2 linked regions of the Rhinolophus ferrumequinum genome follow. The protein of the gene in region 2 purifies or fractionates together with the protein of the main gene of each other region. This does not show direct contact. Links are inferred from orthologs where the notes say so. Each region holds a gene or a part of one and is shown on either strand. Other genes may lie near its edges.

What was found.
Region 1: the proteins of PKMYT1 (region 2) and CKS2 purify together in Homo sapiens (affinity purification with mass spectrometry; 3 studies listed by BioGRID and IntAct, counting the BioPlex papers as one, with this or other methods). This does not show direct contact. The link is inferred for Rhinolophus ferrumequinum from reciprocal best matches to the Homo sapiens genes PKMYT1 and CKS2.

What each region holds. Positions count from the first base shown.
Region 1 is NC_046295.1:4,648,570-4,659,515, forward strand, and holds the start of CKS2 (cyclin-dependent kinases regulatory subunit 2), read right to left. Parts: upstream 4,279-10,946; 5' UTR 4,125-4,278; coding exon 4,066-4,124; intron 280-4,065; coding exon 152-279; intron 1-151. UniProt on the Homo sapiens protein: Binds to the catalytic subunit of the cyclin dependent kinases and is essential for their biological function.
Region 2 is NW_022680357.1:4,481,778-4,492,497, forward strand, and holds the start of PKMYT1 (membrane-associated tyrosine- and threonine-specific cdc2-inhibitory kinase), read right to left. Parts: upstream 5,254-10,720; 5' UTR 5,069-5,253; intron 4,679-5,068; exon of another isoform or gene 4,571-4,678; intron 2,718-4,570; exon of another isoform or gene 2,700-2,717; intron 560-2,699; exon of another isoform or gene 418-559; 5' UTR 401-417; coding exon 50-400; intron 1-49. UniProt on the Homo sapiens protein: Acts as a negative regulator of entry into mitosis (G2 to M transition) by phosphorylation of the CDK1 kinase specifically when CDK1 is complexed to cyclins. Mediates phosphorylation of CDK1 predominantly on 'Thr-14'. Also involved in Golgi fragmentation.

The sequences.
Region 1 (10,946 bases), on a different chromosome or scaffold from region 2:
TTTACTATAAAATTGGAGCCCTCTAGTGAGGGAAAGAAATCAGTCATTCAAAAATAGTTATTCTGGCATATCACCGAATGTCAAGATTACCAAAAAATTTCCAACAACCGCTATTTTAATTCAGTTAATGCTTTTCAATAACAAAACTTACCTGGCTCATGAATCATGTAATGAACCCAGCCTAGACTCTGTTGGACACCAAGTCTCCTCCACTCCTCTTCAGACATCAGATGGGTTTTGGGTACTTGTTTAGAAAGTTCCCTGGGTAACATGACATGCCTGTTTTAAGAGATAGCCAAGTATTAATACTCTGCAAATGTGCCTTTTTTACAGTTATGATCACTTAATACACGCATCTTTAGGATGTTTAAAATTTGAGATTTTTGTCCTCAAAACAAAGTTCTTTAAAGCAATTGTCGTATTATGTCAATTTGCATTGATCTTGAGAACTATTCTCTACCTTTAATTCTGATTTTTGATAGCCCATGTTCAAATTAGGGAGATAATAAGAATATGCAATCCAAAAACAAAAAGGCATCTTATTCAGGATTAACCTTTTCCCCCCAACAAAGAGGGCTTGCTACTGGTCTCAATCTTTTTCAGGAATAGAACCCCCAAAATGAAGTTGGACACAGTTATCCAAAACATCCAGCCTTCCCTGCAGCTACCTCTGGTCATGTGACTAAATCCTAGGCAATAGGATATAAACAGATAATAGGTTAACTTATGGAAAGTGTCCTCAAAAGGAAAGTACACGCCCAACTATACTCTTTTTTCTCCTTCCTGTTGATTATGAAGCAGAATGACCTGATCAGGGAGCTAGAGAAGCCATCCAAGACCACAGAAGCTATTGTAAATTGAGGATAGTCCCTGATTATAGACCTGTCATCCCAGCTTCATGTAGCCTTTTACATAAGGAGAAAAAAAATATCTAATTTTTTAGTTAATTAGGGTTTCCTATTACTCAACATTGTAGATTTGTAGTAGATACAAATCTTGTATCTACTTGTATACTGCAGAAGTTGCTTTATACTCTGTTCAGAATGAATAAAAAACAAACACTAATCACACATATATATGTACCTGCTACCTGACACAGACCTTTAGTTTTCCAGTTAAGTTAGACCTATACCCAAAACTTAAGTTTTTTGAGGAAGGTATGCGATAGTCTTCAATGTCAAAACATCAAGAATATGTACAATTGTAGCTTTGTTACATTCTCAAAGACAAATCCGTACACCCCTTATTACATATAAAGATCTTTATAAAAATCACAACTCCCAGCCCTATTTTTACCATTTCCAGGTAGTACTAATTTTGTACAGTCATACATATTCAACCAATTTTTTTGACCAGTATAGGATATCTACCTGTGAGTCAGTTGGCTAGAAGTGAGAAAGGTATAACTGGTTATTTTCTGGCACACAGGAAAAGTGAACCCATTGTAAGTACTCATCTGTCAGCAACTAAGCCAATCTGTGGCTGGTTAGTTAAGTATCAATTTTATGTAGAACAAAAATAAACCTTAGAAGAATTGTGCTATGCAAGTAGATTGCCATGAGGCCAAGTCAAATTATGCATACTATCCTGGTTAAAATTTCACCAATTCCAGTGAACTGCATGGTGATTCTTAGTAATACTTACCAGCTACCTTATTCGTTCTTGGATTGCTGCTTTAACATCTCCTTTTAAGGCTCTGCAAATAACCTATAATCTTACTTCTATCACATTGTTGATTAGTCTCAAAGAGAAATGTAATGCTAACTAAACTTGTACTATTATGTATACCTACATAAATGCACCAACATGTTATTTAGATAGAAGTCACAACCCCTACCTTCTCCATAAAGCATGGGAACAGGCTCACCTTCATCCAAGTTTGATTATAAAAGAAAAATTTATAAGTAGCTTCAAGCTCACATAGAAATTCTACCTGTATTTAACTGCATGGAGATAGTTTTCTAACTACATGTAAGAAAAATTATTTCCAAAACTAAGTGTTTATTTCAGTACCATGGGCTTGTCACGGAGGGGAGGAGGGTAAAGGCCAATATAAACAGCTACATATAGGCCAATATAAAGGAGCTACAACAAAGATGCAATTAGGAGGGCAGACAACAGTTGTGGATAGGATTTTTTTAAAAAAAAATACTAACATAAAATTTTTATAAATTTAAATCCATACAACCCTATAATACTTGTTTCAGACGGTATTTAACAGAACTAAGTTTTGAAGTTCATTTACAAAATAACCTAAGTAAAGGGAATAGGAAATTAAGTTTGCATTTACAAAACACAAAGATGTAGGCAACTGCACACTAGCAAAAATAAATACTTTTGAAATTCACATTGCATGTTGCACCACCATATACAAACCACCCTAGACTCACACCTCAGTGATTTATTATCAGTATCAACTTGCCTTTAAAAGTATCTCTGGAGATTAATCACTGTGCTGTTTCTGTAAGGCAAGTGGCTTGGTCAAGAAGGACCATTATCTTTAATTAATAATAGATTAGAATATATCACTTCAGATACGACAGGATTTTCTTCTACACATTAGTATACACAAACCAGTTAGGCTAAAATTTTGACAGCGCAGTCTACTTAAGTGCTCATCGATAATTGTTAGTATATTGACAATAAAAAATGAAACTGCCAGAAGTCCTAAAAAGTATCCTAATCTACTAGAGCCAGATGTGTTTCAGAATATTAATATTTTTTCCATATTTTAGAAACGTAATACAGTTTACATTCTGTCCACTATTGGATATCCCCAGCTGGGCTCTTGGTCGATGTCACATAATTGAACATTATGCCAATATATTACAGGATTGAAACTGTACCATGTAGTTACTATATAAAAATAAGATGATCGACTTCAAATTTATCTATATCCAGAAAAACAAGATTTTTCTAGCTAAGAATATGAAACAATGCACGTATTACTAATCTGTAAAACTGCATCAGTTTTTCTCCTGAGAATACAGACTTCCAATACAACAAGAAGAGAGAGGGAGAGAGAGAGAGTGAGCAAACACTATGCCCTTTCTACCTCAAATAGCATTCTTGGAAATCTAACTTGAAAGGACAGCAGGCAGAAACAAGGTCACTGCTTGGCCCCAAATGCAGCTTCCTAGTCACCATCCAGGAGAACAGGGTAGGATTGGTCTTTGAAGCCACGCCCCAAGGAAGTCTCCTGCAGACAATAAGGCCAATAAACGAAGTGGTCCTTCCCTCCCACAATCCAAGTTGTTAATTTTACAGATTAATTTTAGCAACTACGTTCTAGTGCAGCACATCACGACTCAGAAACCAAAAATTCCTCAAAGCGAAGATCTGGCCAGTATATACTGAGACACACACACACACACACACACAAATGCCCAAAGTCCACACGAGTTCTCAACTTAGTCTTAAATGTGAAACCCCTTTGATAATGCCCTTAAGTCATCATGGTTAACGCACAAACGCCTACCCAAATCACCATACGCAATAAACATTTAAAAATTCCAAAAAGCGAAGTTTTCGGGGTTTCCCCCTCAAAGTCATTTTTAGCATCACTAACTTCAAAAGCAAGGAGAAAAAGTGTTTCTCCCACCCTCCACACCACAGTGACTGGGAGAGAGGAACTACTTCGAGAATGCCAACTAGCTCGCAAGTTCTTAGGCACCGCGGCACGGGTGGAGTAGGGCTCTCGCCGCTGGATGTCGGCCACTGGCCCGCCCAGAGCCCGAGTGACGACTGGACGTGGCGGAGGACCCGGGTCCGCTTCGGTCCTTCCGCCTGTTCCCTTTAAGGTAGCAACTCGTCACCAGAAGTGGCCCCCATCTCCGCCCCTGCCTCATCCTTCTCACAGACGGAACAAAGAGGGGAGGCTGGCTGTGCCCGTAAAGGCGAAATAAGGGGCGCGCTCTGGCCCCGACCACAACCCGACACGCTTCCATCCTCACAAGGCCCCTACTCCAACTCCCGGCCTCGACCTTGACCCGACCTCCGGCCCCCACACGAACACCGGCCCTCCCTGGGCAGCGGCTGAGGAAGCCCGCCCACTGGCCCACTTACCGGTACTCGTAGTGCTCGTCGAAGTACTTGTCTGAGTAGTAGATCTGCTTGTGGGCCATCCTGCCGGCAGGTAGGCGGCGCGGAAGGGGAGCGACCGGGCAGGAAGAGCGGGCGCAGCTGAGGGAAGGTGTGCGTCCGGCCAAAGCAACGACTCAACTGCAACCAACAGACCGCAGGCCTAACGATCCTGGTTTGAATCCGACAGCCCGCCGCTGATTGGACAAAGAAGCCGACCAATCACCTTTTGTGCAAACTGCGGGAAGGCGGGGCCGGCTTCCAGCCTATCGTTGCCGCTGCTCCGCGACGTTCACTCCCAAGATCAGCCACTCAGTGGCTTGTTGCGAGGTTGCCCGAGGGAAGAAGTGAATGATTGGCATGGCGTGGAGGCGGGGAGCTCTCTGACGTAAGGGGCGTGACCAGGAAAGGGTGCAGGGGGTTTAGAACTTTCCAGGTCTGCAGAGCCGTTAGGGCGACGAACTTGTGGGACGGATGAGATATCGCGGTGTTTGGCGATGCCAGGGCGGGGCTGCCCGCCGCGAGGCCGCTTGTGCGCAGGCGCAGGCTCGGGGCGCATTTCCCGGGTTCCGCGTCCTAGGTCTGTAGAAGATAGGGAAAGCCAAGGTTTGGGAACTTTGAGGGCACCCAGCTTTTTGGGGAGAGTAGGAACGTGAGGAAGCCGAGGTTGTTCCGCCTGGAACTCTTCAGAACCCTGCAAGAGTGCTGCGTGAACGATAGGGCCGGGGCTGAGCACTAGAGGCCTGACGTGAGGTAAAACATGTATTCCCACGCCTTGAGCATAATTCATAACAACTCTAGATAAGCATGTGTATACGCGTGCTTTTCTTAATGCAAAATGTAAAAACGATTATTAAAATAATAACGTTTCCTACCGGACAAAGGGATTAAAAGTGGTTTTTAAAACTTTTTGGCTCTTAGTATTGAGCCCTAGTTTAAAATACATGCACATGTAAAATAAAGTTACTGGAAGGAAATATGCCAAGATGTAAGTGGTTCTTTTTAGATGACAATTAAAAGTGACCTTTTTTGTATTTTTCACATTTCCCTAAATGAGAATGTGTTATGTTTGTAGTAACGATCTTGATTCAGTGTTAGTTGCAGCATAGTACAGGTGAGAGCATAGACGGGCCCGCTACCCTCCCCCAACCCAACACCCGGTGGCCCTTCACCTTCAGCTCTCAGGTTAAGGATCAGTCTCCTGAAACGGCTTCCTTATACCCTGTGCTCAAGAAGTCCCCGCTTTCCCCGTTCCTGTCCCTCCTTAGCGTCTTTGGAGTTTCCAACCCACTGGTCCTTTGTTGCATGCTTGCTGGGGTTTTGTCTGCCCCCCCTACATAACCCGGTGATGAGGGCATGTCTTTCATTCACTGCTCTACCCAGGACATAGTAGAGTCTCTTGCACATGATGAGCAATAAGTTTTAAGTAGTAAGTGATAGTAATGTATGCCCAAATAATCAGGTGTGATTATGTGCTGGTAAAAATACGAATAAACTGCTAAGGTAGATGGATAAGGAAATCACTAACTGTCTGGCAGAACCTGGGAAAAAAGTTTCCTAGGACATACACCAGGGGTGCCAAAAAATATATATACACATAACTTGTATTCATTTTTTGTTACCAGCATACATCGAGTATTACAATTTTAATAGTTTTTTTCCTTTCTTAAAATGTGTATACATTTTTTGGCACCCTCTGTATTTTTACAGAGATGTATTGTGGAAAATTTCAAACACACAAAAATACAATAGTATAATCAACTCCCATGTACCAGTCACTCAACTTCAGCAATAAACGTTTTGCCCATCTTGTTTTATCTATTCCTCTCTCTTTTTTTTTTTTTGCTAGAATAACTTTAAAGATATCCCAAATATAATGCCATTTTACTCTGAAATAATACTTCTGTATATATATCTGTCTTTATGGTGTACATCTCAAGAAAAAATTTAAAATATACATTTAGTACCATGTCATTACACTTAATAATTCTTCATCATTCTCTGACACCTGTTTTAGATTGATTTCCCTGATTCACAGATGCCTTTTTTATAGTTGGTTGGTTTGGATCCGCATCCAAACTTGGGCCTACACATCGAATTTGGTTATTGTCTCTTTAAGTTTTTATACAATCTCCTCTGCTGACAGACCACCTTTTTTAAATATAGGTTTATCAGAAAAACCAGGTCATTTTTGCCTGTGGAACATTCCACAGTCTGGATTTGGGTAATTGCTTCCTATGGTATAATTTACTTTGTTTTTCCTATAATCTGGTATTTAGATCTAGGGTCAAACAACAGCAAAAGTTTGTCCAAATCCATTTAGCAAGTAAGTGGCAGACTCAGATATGAGCCCAGTCTGACTCCAGACTTAGGCCTCTTAATCTATCATACACTACCTCTTGCCTTTCCAATAGAAGGATTGTCATGGTGAAGGCGTGAGGAAACTTCCTATATGCACAGAATGCTAAATGGGGTTGGTTTAGAGTATAGAGGTCATGGAAAGGAAAGTTGTGGGAATTAAATCTGGGAGGATGAATGTGGTAAGCAAAAAAATGGCCCCCAAAGATGTCCACATCCTAATCCCTGGAACCTACAAATGTATTCACATCAAAAGGGACTTTGCAGATGTGATTAAGTTAAGGATCTTGAGATAGATTATACTGGATTATTGGGAGGGCCCAATGGTATTACAAGGGTCCTTATAAGAGGGAGACAAGAGGGTCAGAGAAAGCTGTAACAAGAAGTCAGAGAGGCATCACCAGGAACCTAGGAATGTAGATAGCCTCTAGAAGCTGGAAAAAGCAAGGAATGGATAGATGTCCTCTAGTCTCCAGAAAGGACACCTCTCTGCTAACATCTAAATTTTAGCCTGTTTAAGACGTATTTCAGACTTCTGACCTCTGGAAATATTGGATGATAAATTTGTGTTTGCTTTAAGCCACTAAGTTTGTGGTAATTTGTCAAAACAGCAATAGGAAACCAATATAATGGATTGGGCCAGACTGGGGAGGGATTTTTTGCTAAGAAATTTGGTCATTTTTATTAACGTAGGGCCAGCTAATGTTTTCAGCAAGGAAGTGGCACAGTCAGATCAGATGTGACAAAGGTAATGAGAGGAATGTGGAGGATAGACTGGAAGGAATGTCCTTAACAGGGACACCCTGTTACAAAGTTATTACTGTTGATAGGATGAGTTTGAGTAGGAAGGGACAGACTTGCAATTTCAAAGCTAGAACCAACAGGGATTGGATTTCTGCTTTTTTTGAAGTGGGTCTTTCAAACAAGCCCTGCTTCCTTTCAAACAGGAAGTTTAGGTTTTGATTGGTGTTTACATGGTAAAAAGGCAACTGGTAAGATTAGAGCATGCTCGAGTTATCATGGATCTCCAACAAGTATCTAGAACTTTCCTACCCCACTAACAGGCCATTAGTGCAGTGACAAAATTCATTTGCAAAATTGCCGTAGTTGGTCCATATTCACTCATTCAGCAAATACTTATTGAGCACTCTTCCTAGTATGTTATATTCAATTTATGTTTGAAAATTACAGAAATAAAAATTATTCTTACAAAATTTAAAAGAAATTTACAATATCAGAAGTAAGATGCCTACTTGCTTCTTACCCAACAACCCCAGATCACAGATTTAACCACTGAAAACAATATGGTATATTATTTACGTAGACTTTTTCCTATACCTAATTCAGATGTATCACTCTCAGAACTAGAATATATGCATATTCTTACTTTATAAAATATTCTACAGCTTGCTTTTTCACTCTCCTTCTGGGATTCCACTGACATGAATGGCCATTTCATAGCTCTTACGAGGTCTTTAGTGTTCTGTTGAAAGGATGTTCAAGATTGTCCCTTATGCCTGTACTGGCCCATCCTGGTCTCTAACTGATTATTATAAATGTGAGAGTACCATAGGGCTTAGTCCCTACACTGCTTCTCCTTTTAGTTCTGTCAGTTTTTGCTTCATGGATTCTGTAGCTCTGTTACTCGATGCATGTAAGGTTGCTAGGTCTTCATGGTGAATAGATATTTTATCATTATGTAATGTCCCAATTTGTCCTGGTAATTTTCTTTGCCTTGAAGTCTACTCTGATATTAATATAGCTATTCCACCATACTTTTGATTGGGCTTTGTGTCCTATAGCTTTTTACATCATTTTACCTTTAACCTACCTATATCATTATATTTGAAGTGAATTTTTTGTAGGCATTATATAGTTAGGTAAAAATTTTTTATCCATTTTTCCAATCTTTGTTTTTAAATTGGTGTTTGAGACCATTTACACAATGTAATTATTGATGTTAGGCTTTAAGTCTGCCATTTTACTATTTTCTGCTTGGTCTCTCTGTTTTTCCTTCATGTGCTTTGCCTTTACTGTCTTCCTGTACTGGCTCAAGAAACCACAAGAAGACTGAAGAATCCTATATCTATTAAATTGGAGCAGTAATTAAAAGTCTTCTCCTAAAGAAGACACTAGACCCAAATGGCTTTATAGAAGAATTTTACCAAACTTTCAAGTTTTATGAAGTTTATTCTATTAGGCAAGAATAATGCTGATTTAAAAAGTGAGTACAATCACATAGGACCCTGCACTTGGGATTTAAAGCTCTGCTGTCATGTCTGGAAATTCTTAACAATTTAATCTTTAAATTTGTGTTTTGTAAGTGAAGTTGCTCTGTTTGTAAATGGCACAAGGGAGCCTGTACTGAGGGTTGGAAGCCTCAGTTCACATGAAGCCCTGCCTCTTACTCCTCCCCAGGTAGGTTCTTTGCCATGGTTTTCACAACCCTCTGGTTCCCAGACCTGACCCAGTCTGCCTCTCACTAGTCTCCCAGCACAGGTGGTAGTCATCTGCAGATTACTTTATGGCTCATGCTAGGTGGCCCTTGGCAGAGCACAGGCTGTGGCTGAATTTGGACTGCAGTGGGGCTCCTCCCAGAAGGCTCTAGGACTGGCACATCAGGTTCGGACCCAGCTGGAGCAACACCCTGTCACCAACAGGGATAACACACCCAAAGGGCAGACTGGGCAGGCACCAGAGCCCTGCTAAACAATTCTACTCCATAGGGTCAGCCCCTGCACAACAGCTCCTCCACTGTAGTCACAACCAGTTCTCACATTCAATCAGCCCAAGGATCAATCCTTCCCATTGATATGCAAACAGCAAACAGGGCTTAACTACAACAGGAGGGTGTACACAACCCACATAAGGGACACACCTGGAGCATCCTGCTCAGGTGACCAGGGAGACTGCACAATTGGGCCCTACAGGACATCTACTACATAAGGCCTCTCTACTAAGACTGGGAGACATAGTAGCCCTACCTAATACATAAAAACAAACACAGGGAGGTAGCCAAAATGGGGAGACAAAGAGACATGTCCCAAATAAAGGAACAGAACAAAGCTCCAGAAAAAGAACTAAGCAAAATGGAGACAAGTAATCTACCACTGGTTATAAGGATGCTCAATGATCTCAGGGAGAACTTCAACAAAGAGATAGGATATATAAAACTAGAGATAGAAAACAAAAAAAAAACAACAGTCAGAAATAAAGAATACAATAACCGAAATGAAGAATACGTTAGATGAAATAAACAACCGATTAGATGAAGCAGAAGATCAAAGCAACAATTTAGAAGCTAAGGTAGCAGAAAACACCCAAACAGAACAGCAAAAAGAAAAAAGAATCCAAAAAAATGAGGATAGTTTAAGGGATCTTTGGGATAACATCAAGTGTACCAACATTCGCATCATAGGAGAACCAGAAGAAGAGAGAAAGCAAAGAATTGAAAACCTATTTGAAAAAAATAATGATTGAAAACTTCCCTAATCTGGCAAAGGAAATACATATATAAGTACAAGCCCAGGAAGCACAGAGTCCCAAACAAGAGGAATACGAAGAGGCCCACACCAAGACACATCATAATTGAAATGCCACAGAAAGAATCTTACAGCAGCAAAAGAAAACTTGTTAGTTACCTCCAAAAGATCTCCCATAATACTGTCACCTGATTTCTCAACAGAAACTTTGTAGGCCAGAGAGATTGGCATGAACTGTTCAAAGTGATGAAAAGCAAGGACCTACAGCCAAGACTACCCAGCAAAGCTATCATTTAGAATCGAAGGACAGATAAAAAGCTTCCCAGACTAGAAAAAGCAAAAGGAGTTTGTCACCACTAAACCAATATTACAAGAAATGTTAAAGGGACTTCTTAAAAAAGAAGGAGGAGGAGCAAGAAGAGGAGGAGTAGGAGGATAGGAAGGGGGGAAGGAGGAGTATATAAAATATGAATAATAAAATGGCAATAACTACATATCTATCAACAATTAGTTTCAATGTAAATGGGTTTAATGCTCCAATCAAAAGATAAGGTGGCTGAATAGACAAGATAATAAGACCCTTACATATGCTGCCTACAAGAGACTCACTTCAGAACAAAAGACACACACAGAACAGTAAAGGGTTGGGGAAAAGATACTTAATGAAAATGGAAACAAGCAAACAAATAAAAAGCTGGCGTAGCAATACTTATACCAGACAAAATAGACTTTAAAACAAAAGCTATATCAAGAGACAAAGAAGGATCCAGTAATCCCACTTCTGGGTATTTACCAGAAGAAACCCAAAACGCTATTTCGAGGGGACACATACATCCATACATTCATTGCAGCATTGTTTATAATGGCCAAGATGTGGAGGCAGCCTGGGTGTCCGTCAGTGGATGAATGGCTAAAGAAAAGGTGGTACATATATACAATGGAATAATGCTTGGCCAGGGAAGGGAATGGGTTCTTGCCATCTGCAGTGGCATGGATGGACGTGAAGGGTATTGTGCTGAGTGAAGT
Region 2 (10,720 bases):
AGGCAAAGGGCACCCCCAGACAGGCCCAGAGAGCTGTCACCCCACTCACCTTGAAGACTTCTCCATAAGAGCCGTGGCCCAGGCGGCCAAGCCTCTGGAAACTCTGCTGGAAGAAGGACTCGGGCCGGCTCGGGTCATAACCAGGGCTCTGCAGGGTCTCAGAGGCTTCGCCTTGGAATGACACCCTCCGGGGCTGGGGCTGCTGCCAGCACGGCGTCCGCGGAGGGAAGAGGCGGCTGATGGGAATGCTGCCCTTGACAGGGGGCCGGGGTGGGAGGCTCCGACTAAGCCCCCTGGGCCTCTTGAGGGAGAAACCAGGTTCTGCGTGGCGGAAGTAGGCCGGGACGGGGATGGGGGTGCCACTCAGGGGTGTCGGGGTGCCCTCTGTGGGCACAGGCATGGCCAGCACAGGAGGTCCTGAGAGGCAGAATACAGAACAGTGTGGCCACTCAAATAGCGCCTTGTCCTGTGGCCCCAGAAAGGCTGTGGAGGAAAGCCGCGTCTATTCTGCACACATGTTCTGCTTTAAACCTGGCAGCCGTGGGCACACAAGCACCTGCTGGGAAAAGGCAGAGGACAAATATATACACGCCTGCACATGCATCTGTACCTGGAGGTCAGAGAAACATAAACTGAATTGCACGGGGCCATATCCTGGAGGCTTCTACAGTCCATCCGAGGTTGAATCAAGGCAGGTTCTGGAGCCAGGCCACCTGCACATACTTCCCTGCCTCCTCACAACCGCTATTTGACTTTAAAACATGCAGCCTCTTCCAAGACTGTGAGGCGGATATATGCACACAGGGCCACACTTCCTTAACTTCAATTCCAAAGTAAAAAAAGAAGGTCTGATTCCAAAAGTTTCTTCTTTGCTTTCTTATTCATAGTTGGGATGCTGAAACTCATGTAATGGAGTTCCACTCCAGTTCCATGTTGCAGTGGCTAAATTCCAGCTGGGTATAGCGGAGAAGCCGAGTCTCCCTCCTTCCACCAGCCTCTACTAATAGCGTGGGAGCTCTGCCTCAGGTCCAGCAGGCTGGGAATACTGCAGCCCAATCCCTCGAGCCCCAGCTCCTTCCTAGGAAGGAGGTTCCACATTGAGAGAGGCAAGCCTAAGGTAGCAGTGTCACTCAGATGGGTATCACTGTCCCTGCCCCATCTCCAGAGCTGCAGCTCAGAGATTCTGCTTGGGGCAGAGGAAGGTCATAAAACAGACAGCTCCAAAGCCCTCCCTTCAAAAAACTGACTATATTTGAAACAGTGTGGGAAGTTCAAGTTGAAAGGTGCTCTCAGAATCAGTGGAGGTTGGGTAGTAAGCAAATAGGAGGAAGCTGGTGCCTCCATTAGCGCAACAAGCTACACCATGGGCAGGCTAGTTTACCAGAGAGAACCGCGGAAAGAGGTAGTTAAGAGCCTTTCCAGAGTCAGAACAACTTCCAACACTGAACTCAAAAGCGCCCTTCTAAAGGAGTCCAAATTTAATTGCATCAGTCTATGGAGCAATTGATGACCCAGGGTAAAAACAATAGAGCAGACAGCCGGCAACTGGGGAAGCGTAACAGGTGGATGTGATTAGGGAAAGGACAGTCAAAGAGAGCCCCCCCTAAAACCACTGGTGTCCCAGGGTAACTGTGCACAAGCCCCACGCTGGGCCCTCTGAGGAGCAATGTCAGAGGCTTCATATTGCAGAAAGATGTGTCACTACAATGATCTAGGTAGTCACTAAACAAATAGACAAGCAAACAACAATCACAAGTCCCCGAGCGGGTGAGGAACCAGGATCCACAGCTGCTAAAACATTATGTAAAATGTCCAGTTTTCAACCAAAAAAACTAGAAGATATGCAAAGACACAGGAAAGTGTGACCCACACACAGGAAAATAGACAGCAGAAACTGCCTGTAAGATGGACCAGATGTGAGATTTAACAGACAGACTTCAAAATAGCCGCTATAAATATATTCAAAGAACTAAAGGAAACCACGCTTACAGTAAAGGAAGCATGATGACAATATCTCATCAAATGGGAAATATCAATAATGAGATAGAAATTATTAAAATAACCAAATGGAAATTGTAGAGTTGAAAAATGCCATAACTGAAATGAAAAAATTCACTGGAGGGGTTCAACAGATTTGAGGCAGAAGAAATAACTAGTGAACTTGAAGGTAGGTTGATAGAGATTGTGCAATCTGAAGAACAGAGAGAAAAAATGAAGAAAAAGGAACAGAGCTTCAGAGAAATGTAGTGTACCAATATAGGCATAATGAGTGTCCCAGAAAGAGAGAAGGAGCAGGAAATATATGCTAAGAAATAATGGATAAAAACTTCCCAAATATGATTTAGAAGAACATTAACAGAGCCAAGAAGTGCAATGAATTCAAGTAGGATAAATGCAGAGATCCACACACAGACACATCATATTAAAAGTGCTGAGTGAACCAAAACAAGGAGAAAATCTTGAGAGCAGCAAAAGAAAAATGACTCATCACTTACAAGCCTCTCCATAAGATTAACTGCTGAATTCTCATCAGAAACAATGGAGGCCAGAAGGCAACAGGATGACATTCCAAGTGCTGGCGGGGAGGAGGGAGATTTGTAAACCAAGAATCCTGTATCTAACAAAACTATCTTTCAAAAATAAAGGCAAAATAAAGACATTCACAGATAAACAAAATAAAGAATTCATTGCCAACAGACCTGCTTTACAAGAAAAAGTAAAGGAAATTCTTCAGGCTGAAAGCACTGATCCCAAATAGTAATTCTAACCTACATAAAAAAACAAAGATCACCGATTAGGATAAGTATGTAATATAAGACAGAATAAATACATATTTCTTCTCCCTTCTTCTCTTAACTGATTTAAAAAGAATATGTATGTAATTGTATTGTTGAGCATATAACAGAGAAATGTAATATACTTGCAAATAACAGCACAAAGGAGGTGGGTGGGAACAAAACTATATTGGACTAGAAAATGACACCAGATGGTAACTCAAACCCACAGGAATAAATGAAGAGAACGAAAAGTGGTGAATAAGGTCAACATAACAAATATTATGGATATGTACGCTCTTTCCTTTTCCCCCTCAGCTTAAGAAATAAACAACAACCTAAATAAACAGAAAGACATTACATGTTCATAGATCCAAAGACTTAATATGAATGAAATGGCAATACTTTCCAAATTGATCTACGGATTCAGTACAATCCTTATCAGAATCCCAGCTGGATTGTTTGCAGAAATTGACAAGCTGATCCTAAAATTCATATAGACATTCATAGGCCCCAGAATAGTCAAAACAAAACAATCAAAATGAAGTTGGAGGACTTGCACTTCCCAACTTCAAAACTTACTTCAAAGCTACAATAATCAAAACAGTGTGGTACTCACACAAGGATAGATATATATATCAATGCACTAAAACAGAATTCAGAAATAAACCCTCACATTTCTAATCAATTGACTTTGACAAGGGTGCCAAAACAATTGTGGGAGAGAATAATCTTCTCAACAAATGGTGCTGGGACAGCTAGATATCTATATGCAAAAATCATTTAGCAGAAAAATCTGGTCTGACCTACTTTTTTCCTCTCAGTGTGAATATTCATAGATTTCTTGACAGAAATATTAATGTGTTTAATTGTTGGATGATGTCCCAGACTCATGGGTGGTGTTACATATAAATGTTATATGCACCCTATTAGCTTTCTAAAATCTGACATATTTTGAATTCTGAAACACTCCTGGCCTCAAGAGTTTGTGGACCTGTAATGCTGAAGTCAGGGAAGGCTCAGCCCAGTGTCTGGCATGCAGAGTCCTCAATAAATGCTATATAATTATTCATTATATAATAAATAATATATAATAAATAATGCTCTGAGTAGTCATTGAGAGAACACACAAAGTTGCAATGGTCCCATGGGTGTAAGTGACTGTGTATTGGAGCAGAGATACACAAAGATTGTGTATCTGCACCCGGCTGCTGTGTTATTACACAATTACATTGTAATTGAAACAAAAACAAGAAAACAAAAGGGAGAGGAGTTTAATTTTTGAGAGAAAGGCAGTGTATCAAAAGATGCCATACCCAACAAGGGGTGAGTCAGTAACTGAAAAGGGGGCAGTCATCTGAAGTGTGCCCTCCTGTCCCTGGGCGAGTGAGGGCTGAGGGAGGGACCCCCAACAGTGCCATCCTGGAAGGCTCACCCTACATAATGTGTGGACCTTTCCTCTGCCCCTTTTACCTCAGGAATCCTACGGGTTTCTCAAAGTAAAGAACTGGAATGTCAGGATCCCCAGGACGCTGGTTAGAAGCTGGTTAGAAGTATGTACAGCCTCCAGGCGCAGTCCTGGCACATTCTGAGACACTTAAATCTTTTAAGATCTGCATCTTAAACCAGTTGTCAGACCATCCCACTTTCATTTACATTCTAGCACCACTGGCCTGGCCAAACAGCTTTGGGGGTGGGACAGGGAAGGTAGAAGGAGCAGGAGCTCCCGGGAGAATCCAGGGTGGCCCTGAGCAGAGGACGGGCCAGGTGACCTCTGCAGCTTCCACAGGCCTCACCCTCTCACTGGGCTGGACACATCTGCTGACCACGGTCTACCACGCTAGACTGTGAGCTCCTCGCGGGCAGGCCCACAGCTGATTCACCTCCGTGGGCGTGGGGAAACCCTGGCGAACAGAGTAGACCGACTGTCACGGGGGAGGGGCTGTAGGGGGAACGTGAGTGGGGCTTTTCCTGGGGAGGGCCAAATAAGGGAGGGCAGTCGCTAGGGGAAGGGGTTACCAAATGAAAGGGGACAGGGAGGCTGGGGAAGGAGAGAGGGCAGCAAGGGGACTCGCCAGAGAGGCTAGAGGGGAGTGGGAGGGGCCGCCCGGGGCTGGACTGGCCCAGAGAGGGGTTAGCAGATGGGTAGGGCAGAACCCAATTCGACAGGGAAGGGGGGCTGTAGGAGGGGGATGAGGAAGGAGGCTGGAGCGGGGTGAGGCTGACGAGAGGGAGGAGGAGAGGAGGGGAGGGCGGTCCGGCTCGAGAACCCTCAGGGCCGGGCCTGGGCTCACCTGGGGCGAGAGGGCGGGGAGCAGCTCCGCGAGGTCCCAGATTCTGGGTCGGCAGAGGTCGCGGGAGACCTCGGGGGCGGTCAGGAGGGCTGAGGTCTGCCGTCGACAGCTCTCTACGACGGGGCAAGAGGACTCTCTGGAGGGGGAACTGCCCGTGAACGCGCGCGGAACTGACTCGCGCCAAAAATTCCAAACCGGAATCGAGGCCCCGCCCAAGAACTCCTCTTGCCCTGCCCCCTTCCCGATGCAGCCCATCAGAGGCGCCCAGCCTCCTGGGGCTCCGCCCCCTACGTCCCTGCGTGCGGGTCGCCGACCACGCCCCCCAAGCGCCTCAGCCCTTGCGCTCTCATTGCGCAGGCGCAAAGTGTCCTTGGCGCCGGCCCGGGGGCGGGAGTGGCCGCACCGCAGGGCCTGGAGGCTGAGGCGCTGCGCCCGGCCTGAGCCAGCTTTGTGCCCCTTCCGCCCGGTTCTCGGAATGTCGACCGACCCCTAGTTCGCTGTCCCAAAACCCACGTCTCTCGCTGGGCTGACAGTATTCGCGTCTGTAAAAGGAGTGGTCACCGCATTTTGCCCCAGAGGTGTCGCCTCAGGAGGCGATCACCTCAGGGTAGGACTGGAAGTCCCTGCGGCCTCTGGGATCCTGACGGGGCGGAGTCCCCTGGGCTCGCAGGCTCCCCCCTCACACCTGCAGTGCACCACACCGGGGATGTCATGGGCAGGCCAGATAGACATTTCCCCGACCCGCGGAACGCGCGGCTTCTGCTTCAGGAACCAGAACATTCTGCCCCTCTCAGGAAGCCCCCTAGACATCCAGGCCGGATCCCTCCCTACTTCCAGGGCTCAGCCACCTCCGAGGCAGCCCTTACCATCGTTTGGATTTGAGCCTTGAGTTCAGCTCACAGCTACCTCAACTGCTTCCTGGCGGAATGACCTTGGAATGTACTAGGGCCTGAGATTCAGATTAGTCTCCTCTCCCGTGAAAACTGAGCTGGTGAAAGTTACCTCACGGAGCTGGAGGTTCATATGGAATGATCCCCTTAAAGTTCTCAGCAGGGGAGCAGCACAGAGCAGGCGCTGATTCCTAACCTTAGTGCTGCAGGCGTTGCTCCTTCACGGACAGCATCTTTTATCCGTTGAACAAGGCAGGGGGGAGTCACGCTTCCAGGCCATCCTCCCTAGAACCCTCCACATCTCATCATATATCCTTTCCTTTGCGGATTGCACTTATCTCTGTCTGAAATTCTATCCTCTTGGTTCACCCTTTGACCACCCCTCCACCAAGTCTGCAAAGTCAGGGACTGCAGGGTTCCCAGCCCACTGCGCTCCTGCCCTTCAGCGAACACTCTCCAGTTAATGGACCAGCCCGTCCCACATCAGGCCCAGAACTTCTCTGGGGCCTGCAGCCCCCACCCCCTCCATGCACCGGTCCTTTGCACTAGCACCTCTGGCAGCCACAGCCCCTGTGACTCAGACTGAACCCCTGTTAAGGACCCCAGACTTGTCCCCAGGAGGCCTGAGAAGAAGGCAGGCCCCTCCCCAGCTACCATCCCCTCTGCCAGCCCCATCTCCAGGACTTTGGGACTCAGGCCCCTTTCCAACTGCTCATTCTTGGAAGTTATTCACAATGACTTAAAAAAAAATTATACATACATATATATATATATATATATATATATATATATATATATATATATATATATATATATATTTCTTTTTAATTCAAAACATGCTTCCAATGGACATTTCACTGTGTGGAAGGGATATAATGTAAAGCTAAGTACAGATAGCAGGTAAGAGCATGGGTCATAGAGTCAGGGCAATTAGGGCTCCTATGCCACACAAAAGCTGTGCAATCATGGGCAAGTTGCTTTATGTCTCTGGGCCTGTTTCCACATTTGTAAAATGGGGATAATAATAGTTCTTACCTTCTTGGGGTATGAGCATTAAATGAGAAAATGCATGTGAAATGCTTAGCACAGAACCTAGCACACAGAAGGAGCTTACTCTCTTTAATAATAACAGTAACACTCCCTCATTTGTATAGTATTTTGCAGTTTTCAAAGCAGCTTCCTGGTTCAAAAGGAGGAACCTGGAGGAGAGGGGCCGGGACTTTTGCACCCGGGGTCACAGGGATTCGAGACCAAAGCGCTTGGCTGGGGATCAGTCCAGGAAGAAACCCCCAATCCCGGCCCAGGCGCGGGATTCCCGGGGTCCGGTCGCACACCCAGGTAAGAGCCGGTTTGGGCCGCGCACGCCCCCATGTGTCCCGTCGCGGCAACAGCACCGCGACCCCGCCCGGACTACCCCCCCCCCTCCCCCGCCACACACACACCGGGATGTCCCTTCAGGGATGGGGCCACAAAACAGGATACCGTGAGATAAGAAAGGTAAGGAAATGACGGCCACTTACGCAAACCTGGCTACATAGCAGGAAAGAGGAGATCGTGATGGGTACTTCTGGGGAATCTGGCCTTGTTCTATTTTTTGACCTTGGAGCCAGCTGCATAGGTGTTTGCTTTAATAGATATTTATTATATTGTACATTTCTGTTTTATGCACGCTTCGGAATGTATGCCATATTTCACACTGGCATAAGGTTTTAATAAACTAACAAGTGGGTGAGGAGAAGAAGTTAACAAAGGTCAGCTTTGCACAGTGCAAGTGCTTAGGGATGCCTGGGAAAGTGTCTCAGAGATGCTAATCCCGCGATTGGGGCTGAAGAGCTGCCAGATAGATTGCTGAAGGGGCGACCTAAGGAGCCTTTAGTATAGCTGCGGGTTCAGAAGGTGTCTGCCCTGCAGGCGCCTGGCCACCCCTCCAGCTGTCATCCCCAAATTCCCACCCTGGCAGGTGCTGCTACCATGAGCAGCTGGCTGGGAGTCTACTGACACAGGCTGTGCCATTTTAGGCGATGTACTTCCTGGGCCTCCATCTTGAACTTTTAACACCCCAGCTGTCACCTTGTCCTGGGCTTCTAGCTCTACCCGTCAAAGTTGCTCCTGTAGCCAGAGCCTGGGCCATGTGCCCTCATGCCTGGGGGTAAAGGGTAACTCAGGTCCAGGCTCCATCAGGGGTTCTTTTAGCCCCCAAGTGGTTGATGCGCTCTTAGGCCCTCCTTGCCTGGGTAGAGCTGGGGCTGAGCTGACGGGATCGGCTGTGCTGGAAGTGGGGGTGTCAGCAATGCAAGGGCTGTGGGTACCCAACTGGGCCCAGCCCTGGTCCTGAGTGGCATCAAGCTGGCCCAAGGCCCCTGGCTGGCTGACTGGCATTTCCCACAGGCCCATGCCAGCACCCAGGCAGCCTGGCACTGGTGGCGGGCACCAGCATTCCCTCTAGCAGTGGCCAAGCAGGCACCCGGCCTGTACCTCCTGCATGGCCCCTCCTGGTCTTCCCGCCTGCCTCCTCTTGTGCCAAGTTTCCCTGGCACCCTGCAGGGTGAGCTGACTGTCTGTGTGTCTGGGTCTGTGTGGGGGGCCCTCAGCTATCCCAGGTCTGAAACAGATACCTTGGGCCCAGACTGGCATGAGGCAGGCAAAGAGCAATGCAGTGTCTGGGGCAACTGGTCTTGTTGCTGCCCAGAAGTGTGTGGAGTATCAGAGGGCAGAGGACGGTGGACTCAGGGGGCGCTGTACACTGCCAGGCTTCAAATCCCAGCCCTGCTGCTTAGGGGGTATACAATCGGAGCTAAGTCCCTTCTCCTCTCTGCCTCTGTTTCCCCATCTATAAAATAGGGTCCAAAGTAGCTCCCCCAATAGCCCTAACACGGTGGTACCATTAGTGTCGTAATTTTAAAGAGAAAACAGACTCAGGGAGGGCAGATTCCTGCTCAAGCTCCCCAGCCAGGTAGACTGAGTACTTGAAGCCAGTCTGAATCCGAATCCAGCACCCAGCCTGCTAACCATGAGGCCACTCAGCTGCCCTCCATGAGGATACCAGGGAGCCAGTACCTCCTGCCCTGGGGAGAAGCAGGTGGCCTGGCAGAAAAGCCCTCTCCAAGGAGCCTGCCTGGACTGTCCTAGGTATTCCAAGCTCTCATGGGTGGTTGGAGTCAGGGGCCACCCCTGAGCCACTCCCAGCAGCCAATGGCAGGTCCAGCCTCCAGGACTCCGGGTCACGGCTCTCTGCTGGACAGGGCAGGAGGTGGGTATGTGGGGTGCTCTGCCAGGGCATTGGGCTGAGAGGACCCAGCCGGAGCCTTGTGCAAAGGTGGGTCTATGGGTACCATGGGTAGGGTTGTATGTGTGTGTGTGCACGTGCACATGCCCTCAGACAAGCATGATCCCTGGCTGTGGGCCCTCGTGTGTGGGGAGAAAACACAGCAGGGGTACAGCCCAGGGTGGGTGTGCAGGCACAGCTCAGTGTTGGGGGAACTATAGGTGAGCGGGTACTGGGGAAAAGCCCTGCAGTCCAGTGAAGGCTGGATCTGCCCCCATAGGTGTTGTGGGCTCAGAGGCCTCACACAAGAAACAACACCCCCCGGCTGCCTACTCCTCACTGAAGCCCCTCTCGAGGTCCCCCACTCCGCCAGGCCGCCTGGTTTGGCAGGCCGGACTCCTTAGCCACAGGTGCCAGGAGGCGCTGGCAGGGCAGGGGGCAGGCCAGCAGATACACAGGGTGTTGGGCCTTCTGGACTAGAGTCCAGGAACTGAGTCATTGCTGTCCCCAGCCCACCTAGTGGGATCCACAGACTCACTGGAGGAGGGGAAGGCTGGTATCCAGACCCCCAACTCCTGGCATTTCCCAAGCCGGCCTCTCCTGCCCTCCCAACTTGGCTCCCCACCAAGCCCCCTATGCCTGGTTCAGCTCCATTTGCCCACCCTCTAGGAATGGAAAGTGGTTACTAGCCCCCCAGGCACCCATTTTTGCAATCCTGCCCCCACCAAATCCTGAGCAGTGGCCCCCTGAGCTTCTGTTCCCAAAAATTAGAGCCGGTGCTGCTGGAGTTCAGCAGCAGATGGAGGTGAAGCTCGGAGGGCCTCCTGCTGCAGGTGGGCCCTGATGGAGTCTTCAAGAAACAGCAAGGATCCTTGGACAAGCCTGAGCCTTGGGTGACCCGTTCCTGTAGTTACTGACCCTCGTGGAAGGGAGGCTTCAGGCCCACTTTCAGCCTCAGGTGGGAACAAAAGGCCATCTCCCCGTGTCATAACTGTGGCCTTCAGGGTTAATAGTCTCTCTTCTTGTAGGTAAGTCTACTTGTCAGATACAATTGGCTACAGTTACCTCGCCCCAGGCCTTTGTAACACTGTGGCCTCTGCCTTCTCTCTCTCTCTCTCTCTCTCTCTCTCTCTCTCTCTCTCTCTCTCTAACACAGTAACTCATTCTGAGTCTCCCCTGCCAGTCACACCCACATTTCTGGGCCTGGCTCCCCCCTCTCCCCAGCTGTGTTTGGGCTGGGCCAGGGGTGCCCCCTGGTGCCTGCCTGCTCTCACCAGCTGAGCCTCCAGACCTGGCGCCAGGGCCCCAGGCCCTGACAGGGGTGGAGGAGGCTTGGGGGCCAGGTGGGGGCCTGTCCTGGCTGTCAGCGCCCATGATGGATGAGGGGTGGGGCGGGGGAAAGGCCAAGGACTGGATTCCTGCTCTAGAGGGAGGTGGGGTCTGGCCCCCTGGGATCTGACAGCAGAGCCTCTGCCAGTGGGGAGGCCTGGGTGAGGG